Lonchura striata: one gene and its partner. The protein of the gene in region 1 interacts with the protein of each later gene in a pairwise test. Links are inferred from orthologs where the notes say so. Each region holds a gene or a part of one and is shown on either strand. Other genes may lie near its edges.

Region 1 (7,133 bases):
GAAACAAAAGACATGCCTGTAGTACTGCAGAGCACATTGCAAGAATGAAGCCAGGTCAGGTACAGCACCGAGACCCCCTGTAACACAACACTGGGGCTGGGGACATCTCCACATGTGTCATCAAGGTGCAGCCCAGCCCCATCAGCCACCTACACTATCTCATACAGAATACAGAGTAGTCAGTATGAAAACACATGACAGGTTCAGCCCATGAATTTAGCAAACATAAATCCCGAAAACACTTACATGCAGGCTTATCATTAAGCCTCATTGCAAAAGAACTATCTGGATGTTTAAAATCAAGCATATGCAAGCATAAATATCTACAGAATTTGAACAAAAAGAACACAAAAAGTACACTCCATAATATTATTAATTTTTACTGCTCCATAGATACCTTAACCTATCAATTATATAACTTAATACTAATATTTTAAAGCATTTTCATCTTCAAAAGGCACTAGAATTTCTAAAGGACAAACTCCACTGACCTAATAAAGCAATTAAACAGCATGCAAGTCAATGGCGTCACATTAAAAATGCTTCTGCAAACCAAATCAACAAAGAATTTCCAAATACCAGAGAAGCCACTGCCATATCAAATAGACAACCAGCTTCCTCTGGTGCCTTTTACACCAGGGAGCATTTTAACACGAAATAAATGTTGTTTTCTCATTAGTTACAGCCGTTCGTGTCTAGTAGCTCTTTAAACAAACAACATTTTGCTGATGCAAGGCAATAATTTGTATTTATTTAACATCTAGTACACATTTCACTTTGATATTGCTGGTATAACTTCTTCCCAGTTGCTTTCAAATATATTAACTTTTTTTTAGAAGTACAGAAAAATGAGATTAAATAAGAGGGGGGTATTTTGGCATATTTTCAGACATAGTTTTAACTGGTAGCTAACAAACTTCTGCTGTTTTTTCGTAATATAAATATATTACTAAAATATATATCCATAAATATATACCAAGATTGAGACCGCTCAGTATGGGTAAAGGCTTACAAAAAAAGAAACTTTCACTGAGGTGATTAGTGCTTCCATGGTAGCACATAATAAACAAATGCCAAATGTTGCAATGCCAAAGCCACCATTTTTGGCAGGACAGGTTTTAGTAAGCTTATTTTTTAACCCATCTCAGGAGAACAGTATTTTTCCACCCAATCACCTGCTTACATTCCTCTTGCAAAGTTTTGTCCCTAAACTGCCACATTTTTTATTGTTTTGGTAACAGAAAATTCAGGTGCAGTCTTAGGAAAAGGTACTACCTTTGCAAATCTCAGACCTGAGTCCAAGGCCCTGGGCTCCCTCATCCTGAAGTCACCAAGCAATGTAAAGGGTAAGTATAGTTAGAAATTCAGAACTGAAAACTCATGGCAAAATTATGAGTTTTAAGATCCATACATTTTCAAATTGCAACAGAACAAGCACTTTAAAACATAATATTATGACCTTTTTTATTTAAAAAAATCTACTTGGGCACAGTAGTGTTATTTGCAGCCTGATGACTCTGGAGTTAATAATTTTATATTGTACTGTGTTCAGGAGAGAGGATTCCTTAGATATCTGATAATTAGAAAAAAAGAATAATTATAAAGGACTCCTATTTAGTCTTACAGTTCTAGCAAGTACACTGATATAACTTGCTTCCATTTTAAGGAAATTTGTTTTAATAAAGACAGGGCAGCATATGGTACTAACATGTTTATTTTCCAAGTGGAAGGGACACTAACCAAAACCATCTGATGTTTCTTCATCTGATGTTTCTTCCTAAGCCTCCTTGAGCTGGATTGCAGCTTAGAATAAAGCATTACAAAGCCAGAAGAAGTGGGTAGAGGAATAAAAAAATGAGTAATTCAAAGTCTTTATCTAATGAGAGCACAGTTCAGACCAGTTCTTATTTTGAATATAAGTTTAAAAGTACTTATGATTGGAAATTTATTTCCAGAGACTATCAAATGTAGTCCAAAGCTAATCTGTCACAGACATTTTTTACTCTGCACACAGACAAAAACCAAACCCCTAAATCATGTAATTAAAAGAGGAATTAAAGGAAGCTCAGAAGTACTTAATAGATTTCTAGAGAAGCAAACAATCAGTACTGTGCATTATGAACACAGTAAGAAAAGTCACCAGGGACTACCAGATTCACCCCCACCAGAGCTCCAGGAACGGTTTTCTCAGTTAGTTGACCAAGTACTATGATTCCATCAAGAGCAATGGTAATTTTAAAGTACGCCTTGTTAAAAGTATAAAAGACGAAAACTTTTCTAACCACATTTTCAGTGCTAAGAGCTAACAAATGAGGGGACAAACCAGGGAGTGCGGGTCAGAGCTCCGAGGGCTAGCGTGAACGTTTGGAAACAGCTGCCAACCACACGGACTCAGCGGCATTTCGCAGGCAGCCCCGAGTTCCTCTGGCGCAGCTGTAAAACACACAACCTGAAACCCGCTCCTGCAGCAGGGGTTCGCTCGCAGCTGTTCTCTGCCTCCCCCGCACGCAGAAATCTGACTCCTCTCCAAGAAAGAGCTTCTTTAATGAAGCCACACGAGAGCAGCATAGGTGTATCGGGGGACCCAGAACCAGGCGCTTTCCAAGTGGGTCTCCAGCACCCGAGCTCACAGCTCAGCCTCGCAGAGACGCGCTGCAGGGGCCGCCGGGCTCAGCCCCGCCGCCGAGCCGGGGGCTCCAGGGCGGGGACGCTGCTCCGAGGATCCCACCTCAGCCTCAGCCACCTCAGCACGGCGGCTCCGGAGCTCTGCCCACTCCCGTACTTGTTGCCTGCGCAGAGCTCAGCCCGGCGCCGCCGCCCCCGCGGAGACCCCCGGTGCCGCTCGGCTGAAGGAGGCTGAGCGGGGCTGAGCGCCCGGCACCGCGCGGGGCAGGGGAGTTACTCACCGCGCCGGCTCCGCGCAGCGCTCTCCTCCTCAGCCGCGCCGGCTGCGCCCGCCCCGCCTTAGGGGAAGCAAACTCCGGGCAGCAGCACTTGGAGAACGTGTCTCGTCGGGCCGGGCCGGGCCGGTGCTCCCGCCTCCGCCCCCCGCCGCGGGCAGCGGCGCGGCCCAAGTGACAGCGGCGCTCCGCCACTCCGGCGGCGGCCCCGGGCGCGGGGCCGGCCGAACCGCAGCCTATGGCAGCGGGGCCGGGGCGGGACGCGCTGGAGCCCGGGGCCGGGGTGTCCCCGCCGCTCGCCTGATCGGCTGTGCGGAGCCCGGAGCGGTGGGGAGCGCGGGCGGGGCCGGCGCGGAGGAGGGGCCGGGTGGGGCGCTGCCCGCCCGGGGCTGCCCGCGGACCTGTCCCCGCCTGCCCGAGCCCTGCGGCCGCGCCCAAGGAGCAAACCCAGGGCGTCTCCGAGACTGAGAGCCCCAGCGGCGCTCCCACCCTCCCACACTCAGTCACCGCCCCGCGCCTGCTTCCCCCGCCCTGCCGGCGGGGCACGGGGGTCCTGCCCGCCAGGGAGCCCACCGCCCCGCTCTCCTTTTGGCGGGGGGCGCGACCACCGGTGCCGCAGGTGCCCGGCGGGGTGTGGCGGGGCCCGGCTCGCCCCGCCCCGGCTCCTCCCGCCGGGGTCCTCGCCGGCCCCTACGCCCGCCCCGCTGCCACGCCCCCCGGCCGACCGCGGGTGATGGCGCCGGCCTGCCCCTGAGGAGCCGCAGCGGGGAGCGGTGGGGCAGCCATGGAGGAGGACCCGGAGCTGGAGAGGTAGGGGGGAGCGACAGCGCGGGGAGCGGTCTCGAGAGCGAGCGGCCTCCACGCGGCTGCTGCGCCGCTCCGGGCCCGGCAGCGCCTCCCGCGCCGCGGGGCCCGGGCAGCGCGGGGCTGCGGCCGGCCGGCTCCCCCGGCCCGAGCGCTCCGCAGAACCGGCCCCGAGCTCCGCCGGGCTCTGCCCGCTGCCCGCAGACAGCCCCTCCTGTGGGCGTGCGGCCAGGGCGCGCCCCGAGGGCAGCGCGGCCTGGGGCTGCCTCTGCCGTGTCTTCCGCACAGAGCTTTGGGTGCGTGCTGATGTCGCTTAGAAACAGGATTGGAAGGTCTTGGATGGTTCACCCCTCATTAGCTACAATTTGATGAGTTGTGGACTTGGCAAAATAAATTTTAAAAATCCCAAAACACCTTGTGTTGTTAGAGATTTCAATTTTCAGTTGTGCCCTTTGACTAGTTGTTAGAATTGTCGTGTTCTTGTATGAGAAAAATACAAAATGGTTGGTAGTTATTTTGTCAAAAACTAAAACTGTTTTCTATTTGGCATTTCGTTGGAACCAGTGGATTTGTCTTGCTGCACGTTTTGAGTTGCAGTGCTCTCAAGCAAACACTGAGGAATAAAACATTGATTTCCATATTAGGATACTCAAAGTAGGCCTCTCTTGCTTTTGTTTTAGGAATAGACTTTTGGTGTTTATATCACAAATGTTTTGCAAAACAGTGCTATTTGTTTGATGGGAATTTGTTTTTGCAAGCTTATTTCTGGGTTGTTCATTTTCCTTACGGCTGTTTAAAACAACTGTTACAGTGAAGTGATGACCAGAAGCTTTCTGAACTGTTCTCATGGTTCTCTCCTTTAACTTTTAAGAAACCGTATCTGGGAATGCTTACCGAAAATAACTTTTTTCTATTTGTATCTGGCAGGTATTTGAAATGTGCCAAAAGCAATAGTACTGAGACAGTGGAAGGGCTAGAGCGCTTAATGCTTTCTAAGAGGCTTTTAATTCTTGCTGAGCTGTTTCTGTTCTCAGATCATTAGTTTAATAATTAAAGCTTCTTTTGGTGTATGCATGAATGTTATTTTTACTAGTGCCATTCTAAACTTAAACCTTTTTCATTCATGGCAAGTTGAAACCATGCCACTGTTCTTCCATGCTGTCTTCTGGTTGCTGCTGCCGTGCTGGGGGCCTGGGGTTCTCTGGGCAGTTCAGGGCATAGCTGACCTCACCAGCTGTAGCCAGCTGCTCCACAGCCACCTCCTGACTGATGCTCTTCTTCCCAGAAACTACATTTGAAGTTTTACCTTCCTCAAAGGCTCACTCCAAGTTAGGATTTGCTATTCCTGTTCTGTGGCAGTGTGGTAAATAATGAGGATGAAGCTCAGTGTCACTTGTCGAAGTGGCACGGTAGGGTTTAGCTGTTTGGTGTCACCAATCTGTGTCACTGTGCACCTCAGAGGGTGTTTAGTCGGCCCCAAACACATTATAACTACAGTGTAGTGCACTTGACAATTGGCTCTTCCTGTCCTCGATCCACCTATCATCAGTTACTTTTTCATACCTTAAGTTTTCATGACAGCTTACTTTGATAGTAGCACCCTGAACTGAATTCAGTTTGTGCTGTGTGCATTTAGAGGGTGTACTTTGGCACTCTAAATAGTGCTTCACTGTACAGTCTTCAGTACAGAGCCCTTCCAGTCTAACAGAGATCTTTCTTTATCCTTTGTGTTACAGATGTTATGTCTTAGATTCATACTCAATAACATACTGATCATATCATCCTGTGAATAGTGTAGTAATGGCAGTTTAGGCTTATAATTTTTAAGGGTTTTGTATTATGGGTTTAACATACAAATAATAGTGTTTCTGTTCTGTAGCCATAGTATTAATTCCTTTAGTGCATTTTTAGTGTTCAAAAATGGGTTTATGTGGAATATTTTGAGAAGTCTGTCTCTGAATCCAGGCTTGTCTTGCAATGCAGACTTAAATAAAAATTCAAGGTTTTTGTACATGTGCTTTTTATTTAATTAACCATGAGGGAGAAAGAAGCGTAATATTTTTGTGCATGCTTTTTCAGGTCAGAAATTAATTTTGTGTCCCAGTATTCCAAAAAGTGATCTGTTAAGTCAATCGCCCTATATTTTTGTTACTAAGAAGTCTTTTCTTCTAGCTTCTTTTATTTTTATCCTTACTGCCACATTTCCCAATATTATTTTTCAGTTTTACTGTTTCTGACTCTCACTTGATCTTGCTTTTGATGTTTTCCTCACTTTAATATGAAGTGAGGTTTTCCTCGAAGCTGAGTACTTATAAGTTCCTGTGTGACTGTTGCATACAGAATGCAACAGTCTGTGGGTTTTAAAACTCTAAAAGCTATAAATACCACAGATGTGTAAAACAGTAATATTTGCTACATTCTACTGAACTACATCCTCTACTCCATCTCACCCAGTAACCTCTGATGGAAGAAGTATGAACTAAGATTTTCCCCTGTGAACTTGCTGGTACATCAGTGAAGACCCTGAGCCTTAAGGTTCCATGTGATTCTTAAGAAAATTCTAAATTATGTTAGCATATGATTAATGGTATTTGAAGTTATGATGTAAGAAGGAGGTGGAAAAAGGGAATCAGCTAGTAGGAGCTGTTCACTTTCTTTCCTCTGCAAGCACCTGAAACTGCTTTTCCTAGTTTATTTCAACTAAATATACACTGAGATATTATGTAGGTCACCATTTTCATTCCTGCATAAAAAATGAAATCTTTCTTCCCCCTCTACTTCCTAAAGTATTGCCATTGTGGTTCTGTATGTTTGAAGCACAGAAGATGCGTTGTTTCTCTTCAAATACAGAGGAAGTGGCTTTGTTATACTGTGTGTCCATATCCTTCCATAATCCATTCTGTCTTTCAATAGCTATAAACATTCCACAACCTTGGATATCATACTTTATTAGAAGTACCTGCCAAGCTTATTTATAGCATCATTTACTTGGGATTAAGTGTTTCCTAAGGAGATGCTGCTCTGAGTCACAAAGAATGCTATAATTCTGTAACAAGAGGCCTCTAGTTGAGTTGAGAATCAATAATCTAATATTTTTGCTTCATAAGGCAGCCCAACTACACTTTTTGAAAAGCAAGCTTTGTGCCTTGGAGAAAATTAATGGTTCTTACTATTGATTTTAACAGTTGAAGTCAAGTGTCAGGATTAAGTATTCCTTACCCCTGGTGAAAAGGGGGGAAAAAAAGAAAAGAAAAAGTGGTATGCAAGCTAGGATTGGTGTTTGAAATGGAGTGATACGTTCACTTTGCTACTCAGACCAGTGAGAATATTAGCACAGAAATGTGCTGCAAATAACACTCACAAGACTTGGCAAGTAGAATACTTAAATAAGTACAAAACCTGATCAGCAAAGAATGAGAGCATTTCTAT
Region 2 (7,286 bases), on another chromosome or scaffold:
TGAAGGCGAGATTCTACAAATGTGGGGGTTTGGGGTTAAAATGGGCTGGGGGAGAACAAAACATGAGGATAAATGAAGTGAAAAAAGGGCAATTTTGGGGTAAAAGGAATGTGGCAAAAATGGGGATTTTTGGAACGTGGAGAGAAAAATTGAGTTAAAATATTAATTTGGGTTAAAACTGGTAATTTTTGGATTTTGAATTTAAAAAGAGAGCTAAAAAATGGTGATTCTAAATAAAAATTGCAGTTTTGGCATGAGGGAAAAATATATTTTAAACCCCACAACTTAGGGCCAGAGAAGAAAAAAGGGTTTAAAAACCTTATTTTTGGAGATGGGAGAGAAAAGTGCATTAGAAATTAACAATGTGAGTTAAAAAATAAAAGAAAGATGGACTTTAAAAGGCTGATTTAGGAGATGAGAAAGGGCATTTTGGGGGTTTGAGAGTGAAAATGGGCTAAAAATTAAGTGATTTTGGGGGTGATGAGACAAATAGGTTAGGAAAAGAGCAGTTTTGGGGAATGTAGGAAAAAATGGCTCAAAAAAATTTTAATTTGGGGTAAAAATGGGTATTTTGGGCAAATTAAAAAGAAAAATTAGTTTAAAAGATCTAATTCAGAATATTCAGTATTTTTGGGTAAAAAATTTCTGCATTTTGGAGCCTTGGGAAACTCATGGTTAAAAACTACAAAGTTTGAGGAAAACCATTGGTTTGCGATTGAAATTGAGAGTTTAGTGAGAGGAATATGGATTATGGGGGGAATAGAATATTTAAAGGTAAAAGTTGCAAATTTTGGGGTGGAAAAATGCAGATTTGGGGCTAAACCGTAATTTTGGAGAGCAAATTTGACCTTTTAAATAACAATATTTTCTGTAGAATAAAAAATCTTTTTTGGACCTCAAAATCAGAATTTTGGTTCAAAACCTTCTTCTCAGTGCTAAAAAGAAAAAAAATCGCATTTTGGGGTTAAAAACTCAAATTTGAGGCGTTCTGGAGAACAAAGATTTCAGCATGGGGCTGAAAATGGAAATGTTCACTCAGGGGGCAGGAAATGCAGTCTGCAGACACAAAGAGACGGGTTTGAAGCTGAAAAGGGTAAAAAGAGGCATTCTATAAAGAAAAAAAATTAAATATGAGTCTAAAAGCAGCCATTTGGGGGCTGATTATATTCAGGGGAAAGAAGGGATTTTTGAAGCAGCAAAAATGATAAGCAGATGCGAACAATTGCAAATTCCGAGGCCTAAACAATGCTTTTTTGGTGCAAAAATCACCATTTTGTGCTTAAAAAAAGGTAAATTAAATAAAACCCATTAAATTTGGAGAAAGAGCAGTGATTTTGAGGTTAAAAAAAAAAAAAAAGCATATTCGGAAGCACAAAGCTGCGATTCTTTCCCCGACCCTCCATTTTGGGGCTGGAAACCTCCATTTTGGGGCTGGAACTCCCCATGAGCTGGAGAAAATGCCGATTTTAACCCAACATCAGCTTCTAGAAAATAAACCCAGCTCTTTTTCTCTTCAAAACTCCCTACTTTGGGGATAGAAATTTTGATTTTGGAGCGAAATGTTATTTTGTAAAACAAAGATGCTGAGCTGGAGCTCCGAAGCTCCATTTTGGGGCTGGGAAAAAAAAAATGTTTTGGTGCCAAAAAGATGCATTTCAGCAGCAGGAAAAAAACTCTAATCAATGAAAAAAAAATCACATAAATAAAAAAATTAACATTTTAGTTTGCTTTCTGAGAGTTAAATAATCCCTTTTAAAGGGTAAAAACGGCATTTCAGAGAAGGCTGATTCAAGGGAAGAAAAACATTAATTTTAAGAATGACTATTTCAATTTGAAGACCCAAAATCCACATTTAAAGAATAAAGAACTTTTCTTGTTATAAAATCGTGAAGCTTAAAAATCTTCACTTTGCGGATTAAAAAAAAAACCTAAAAACTCATTTTAGAAAAAACTGGGAACACGCCTGTTATTTAGGGACTAAAAACATTTATTGTAGGTATTAAGCCGCTTTTTTATGGGTTGAATCCTCCCATTCTCAGGTCTGACCCCTCAGGGCGTCACGCCCCGTTTGGGGGTCAAAAATCTTCATTTTGGGGCACAAAATCCACATTTTTTTGAGGTAAAATTGGACTGTTTTGCCGTGAAAATAGCGGATTTTAAGGACGAAAATACGCAGTTATGGGGTGAAAACAACCGAGTTCAGTCTGAAAAAGGGGCATGTAAAATAAGAAGTTTAAGAAAAACAAACAAATGATGTTTTAATTATGAAAAATATTATAGTGGAAATTTTAATTCTGGGGTTAAATCCTTTAATTTCAGAACTCTTCGGCGCCATTTTGGCGCCTTCCCCGCCCATCCTCGGCTAGACCCTCTGGATTTGGGGCAAAAAGCCGCATTCATAGCCAAACCTATGAAATAGTCATTTAAACCGGGAAAAAATAATGTTTTTTCCTTAAAGCACCCCAGAAAAGGCGATTTTGGAGGCGAATTGGCCGCGGTCCGGGGCCGCCGCCCTGAGCCGCCATTTTGCGGCCGCGTGTGGGGGGCGCGCGTTCGGCACCGCAAATCCTCATTTGGCAACAAAATCTCCGCATTTTCCCCCCAAATCCCCCCCACCCATCACCGCCCCCTCCCTCGCAGGCGCTTCTGCGGCGGGAAAGCGGCGATTCTGGGGTAAAATAGCCCCGCTTTGGGTCACCCTTTGTCTTGGCGCGCGGGGGTGGGGGGGCTCTTAAAGGGGCCACGCCGCCGCGGCAGCGGAGAGAGGCGGGGCCCGCCGCGCTCACCTTGGCGCCGATCTGGTTGCCGCATTGGCCCGCCTGGATGTGGACGATCTCCCTCATGGCGGCGGAGTCTGACGGGGCGGTTCGGGCCCACCCGGACGGCGCGGAGGCGCTCGGAAAACCGAATTAAAAAACGTTAAAGAGGCGGCGCGGCCCCTTTAAGAGCGGAGCAAAGGCGCGAGCGCGACAGCGGTGAAAATGGCGGCAGCCGCGGCCCCGCGCGCGCTCATATAGGACAAAGCCGCGGCTCTCATTGGTCGGTGCCGCCCGCTTTCCATCCTTCTATTGGTCAATCTCGTCGTCAATCCAGCTCTCTGCTCTCCAATTGGTCTACGGCCTCACTTCAGCCCCTCCCTGCGACGCTCCGGCGCTCCCGGAGGACCGCCCCGCCCCGTCTCTGTGGCCGGGCGATGATGGACACGCACAGCAGCCAATGGGAAGCGCGGACCGGCGTTGGCGCGCGGAAGAAGAGGCCAATGGGAGCGCTGGGGGCGGGGCCCGGCGGGGATGCCGCGGGAGGGGTGAGCGGGAGGGGTCGGGGCCGCTTTTGGGGGGCCCTGAGGGAAATTTGGGGCAATTCGGGGGGCTCTGGGCTCCGCGGGGAATCTGGGCTTTCCTGGAGGGATCTGGGGGTCTCAGCGGAGGCTGGAGCGGCCCTTGGGGAGGACTTTGGGCCTCGGGGGCGGTTTGGGGGAGTTCCCGAGGGAGACTGGGAGAGGCTCTGGCGGGGATTGGAGCTTCCTGAGCGAAGTCTGGGGGCTTGGTTTGGCAGTTTGGGGTTCCGAAGAGAAACTTTGGGGTTCCTGAGGGGATTTGGGGTTCCTGAGGGAGATCTGGGCTCTCTGAGGGGCTTTGGGGGTTCTGTGAGAGAATCTGAGGTTCCTGAGGGGGGATTGGGAGTCCCCGGGGGGGTTTTGGGCCTTTTAGGTGCAGTTTTGGGGGATCCTTGTGGCATTTTGGGTCATTTGGGCGCAGCTTGGAGAGTTTTGGGGGGTCCCTGGGTTTGTTTTGAGTCTTTTGGGGGCAGTTTGGGGAGTCCCAGGCCGGGGTTTGGGTCCTCTGGGGGCAGCTTGGGTGTCTCTGGGTGATTTTTGGGGGGTTCCTTGGAGAATTTGGGGTGTTTGGGAGGGTCCTGGGATGGTTTAGGAGGATTTGGGGGCAGTGGAAGTTCTAGGGGGTCTCTGGAACAGATTGGGGCTGTTTTGGGTCATTTTGGGGGTTCTGGGAAGGGGTTGGGGTCATTGGGGCAATTTGGGGGCATTTTGGGGGTCTCTGTGGGGGTTTTGGGGTCCCTGGGGCATTTTTGGAGGTTTCTGGTGTTCTTTGGGTCATGTTTGGGATCATTGGGGGATTTTGGGTGGTCCCAAACACCTGAAGCCCCCCCCCAACCCCTCTTTTGCAGAGCTCTTGACGATCCAGCTGTGGCCCCAGATGTTGAGGGCCCCCAAAAACACCTTCCCTACCCCCAAAACACCCCAGACGTTGTCAGGAAGGGGCCAGATCTAGATGCTGGGGACCCCGAAATGCCCAAAGTGTCCCAAAATGCCTTGGAGGCTCCAGATGTGGCAGCAGAAACTCCAAGTACAGATGTGCTGCAGGCCAAAAATGGGCACCAGATGTTGCTGGTGGACAGTGACACAGATGTCGAGGAGGAGGGGCCAAATCCAGATGTTGGGTCCCCGAAACATCTTAAAATGACCCAAAATGTGCTCGAAACTCCAGATGTGGGGCTGAAAATCCCAAATCCAGATGTTCCATGGCTTAAAAATGGGTGTGGGATGCTGCAGGTGGAGAGTGACACAGATGTGGAGGAGGAGGCTGATCCAGATGTGGAGCCCCCAGAACGACTGAAAATGACCCAAAGCGTTCCAGAAACTCCGGATGTGGTAGCAAAGACCCCAAATCCAGATGTTTCTGGCCCAAAAATGCGATGTGGGATGCAGGTGGTGGGCAGTGACACAGTTGTGGAAGAGGATCCATGTGTGCAACCCCAAAAAAGGCTCAAAGTGACCCAAAACATGCCTGGAATTCCCGATGTGGAAGTGGAGACCCCAAATCCAGCTGTGGGAACGCCCAAAACTGGACACTGGACAATGCTGGCGGACAGCAACACAGATGTGGAAGGGGAGGAGGAGAATCCAGATGTGCGGCCCCCAAAACAACTCAGGATGACCCAAAATGTGCCTGAAACACCAGATGTGGCAGCAGTGGCCCCAAATCTTGATGTTTCAGGCCCAAAACTCCGTTCCTGGATGCTGCTGGTAGACAGCGATACAGATGTGGAAGATGAAGTGAATCCAGATATGCAGCCCCCAAAAAGGCTCAGGAGGACCCAAAATGTGTCCAGAATTCCAGATGTGGATGTGGAAACCCCAAATCCAGCTGCAGAAAGGCCCAAAATTGGTCATCACACATTGGTGGTGGACAGTGACACAGATGTGGAGGAAGATGCAGATGTGCAGCCCCCAAAAAGGCTCAGGAGGACCCAGAATGTGCCTGAAACTCCAGATGTGCAATGGGGGACACCAAATCCAGATGTTTCAGGCCCCACAATCAGGTATCAGATGCTGGTGGACAGCAGTGACACAGATGTGGAGGAGGATCCATATGTTGAAACCCTAAAAAAGCTTGAAATGACCCAAAATGTGCCTGAAAGTCCAGATGTGGTGACACAGACCCCAAATCCAGATGCTGGAGTGACCAAACATGGGTGTCAGGCACTACTGGTGGACAGTGATACAGATGTGGAGGAGGAGGAAGGGAATCCAGATGTTTGTCCTTCAAAAAGATGGGAAAATCCTCAAAACATGCTCCAAACTCCAGATGTGCCCACACAGCCCCCAAATCCAGCTGTGGAGGGCTCCCAGAGGCACAGAGTGCTGCTGGATGACAGCGACACAGATGTGGAAGAGGAGGCAAAACCAGATGTTCGATGCCTAAAAAGACTAAAACCAGCCCCAAACGTGCCTGAAACTCCAGATGTGAGGCTGAAAACGCCAAATCCAGATGTTTCAGGCAGAAAAATGGGCTGTGGGACATTGCTGGTGGACAGCGAAACAGATGTGGAGGACGATGAGACAGGTCCAGATGTTCAGCCCTTAAAAAGACGGAAAATGACCCCAAATGTACCTGAATCTCCAGATGTGCCCACACCATCTCCAAATCCAGCTGTTGGAGGCTCTGAATCCAGATGTGGAGCCTTGGTGGTGGAAAGTGACACAGATGTGGAGGAGGATGAGGCTTGTCCCGATGTTTGGCCCTCAAAAAGACAGAAAATTACCCAAAATGTGCCCGAAACGCCAGATGTTGGGCTGAACCCCGCAAATCCAGATGCTGGGAGGCACCAAAGGACCCAAAATGTGGCTGAAACTCCAGATGTGGAGGAGGAAGAGGAAGGGTGGGATCCTGATGTGGCCACCCAGCTGTTCCTGCCCCCAAATCCAGATGTGGGGGAGGCTGAGGCAGATCCAGATGTTGGGAGCCCAAAACAACTCCAAATTACCCAGAAGCTACATGAAATTCCAGATACGGAGAAGGAAGAGGAGTCAGATCCAGATGTAGCCACCCAGCTGTTCCTGCCCTCTCCAGATGTTGGTAGCCCAGAAAGCCCCAAAATGGCCCCAAAGGACCCCAAAATCCCAGATGTGGAGGGGCTGCCCTCCTTGGAACCAGATGTGGCCACGCAGATGTTCCTGCCCCCACATCCAGATGTGGGGGTTGGCCCAAATCCAGATGTTCTGGGTCCAAAACAACACAAAGTGGCCTCAAATGAACCCAAAACTCCTGATGTGAGGGCGGAGAACCCAGATCCAGATGTGGAGGAGGACTTGGATGTGGCCACCCAGCTGTTTCTGCCCCCTGATCCAGATGTGGAGGGGGAAGGACCCTCAGATCCAGATACTGGGTCCCCAAAACCACTCAAAAGTCCCCTAAACTCGCCTGAAGTTCCAGATGTGGATTTGGAGAGCCTGAATCCAGATGTGGAGGAGTCACTGAGGAGCCACAGGACATTACTGGGGGATGCTGATCCAGATGTGGAGCAGGCAGACCCAAATCCAGATGTGGCAGCCTCAAAAAGACCCCAAACGGCCCCAAAAGTCCCCAGAATTCCAGATGTGGAGGTGGACACCCCAAATCCAGATGTGGAGGAGCTGGGGAGCCCTGACCTCGATCCAGATGTGGCCACTCAGCTGTTCCTGCCCCCCAACCCAGTTGTGGGATGCCCAGAAAGCCCCAAAACAGCCCCGGAGGAATCCCAAATTCCAAATGTGGAGCAAGAGGCCCCAAATCCAGATGTTGGGGATCCCCCAAGCCCCACCCAGGAGGAAGCAGAAGCTCCACTCACCCTGCAGGTGAATTTGGGGGGGTTCCAGGTGATTTTGGGGGTCTCCGGTCAATTCCGGGTGCTCCAAAGGGATTTTGGGGGGGGGTCCAGGTGGATTTTTTGGATTTTGGGAAGTCCCAAGTGGGCTTTGGGGTTCCTGGTGTGTTTTTGGGGTGCCC

The links. The genes of interacting proteins can lie anywhere in the genome.
Region 2: the proteins of LNX2 (region 1) and tubulin beta chain interact in a two-hybrid assay, tested with the Homo sapiens proteins (3 studies listed by BioGRID and IntAct). The link is inferred for Lonchura striata from reciprocal best matches to the Homo sapiens genes LNX2 and TUBB.

Annotation. Positions count from the first base shown.
Region 1 is NC_134604.1:69,173,329-69,180,461, reverse strand, and holds the start of LNX2 (ligand of Numb protein X 2), read right to left. Parts: upstream 3,097-7,133; 5' UTR 2,907-3,096; intron 1-2,906. Other genes in the region: protein POLR1D, read left to right, coding at 3,685-3,710.
Region 2 is NC_134631.1:1,344,429-1,351,714, reverse strand, and holds the start of tubulin beta chain, read right to left. Parts: upstream 3,001-7,286; 5' UTR 2,844-3,000; coding exon 2,787-2,843; intron 1-2,786. Other genes in the region: MDC1 (mediator of DNA damage checkpoint protein 1), read left to right, coding at 3,291-3,304, 4,186-7,135. UniProt on the Homo sapiens protein: Tubulin is the major constituent of microtubules, a cylinder consisting of laterally associated linear protofilaments composed of alpha- and beta-tubulin heterodimers.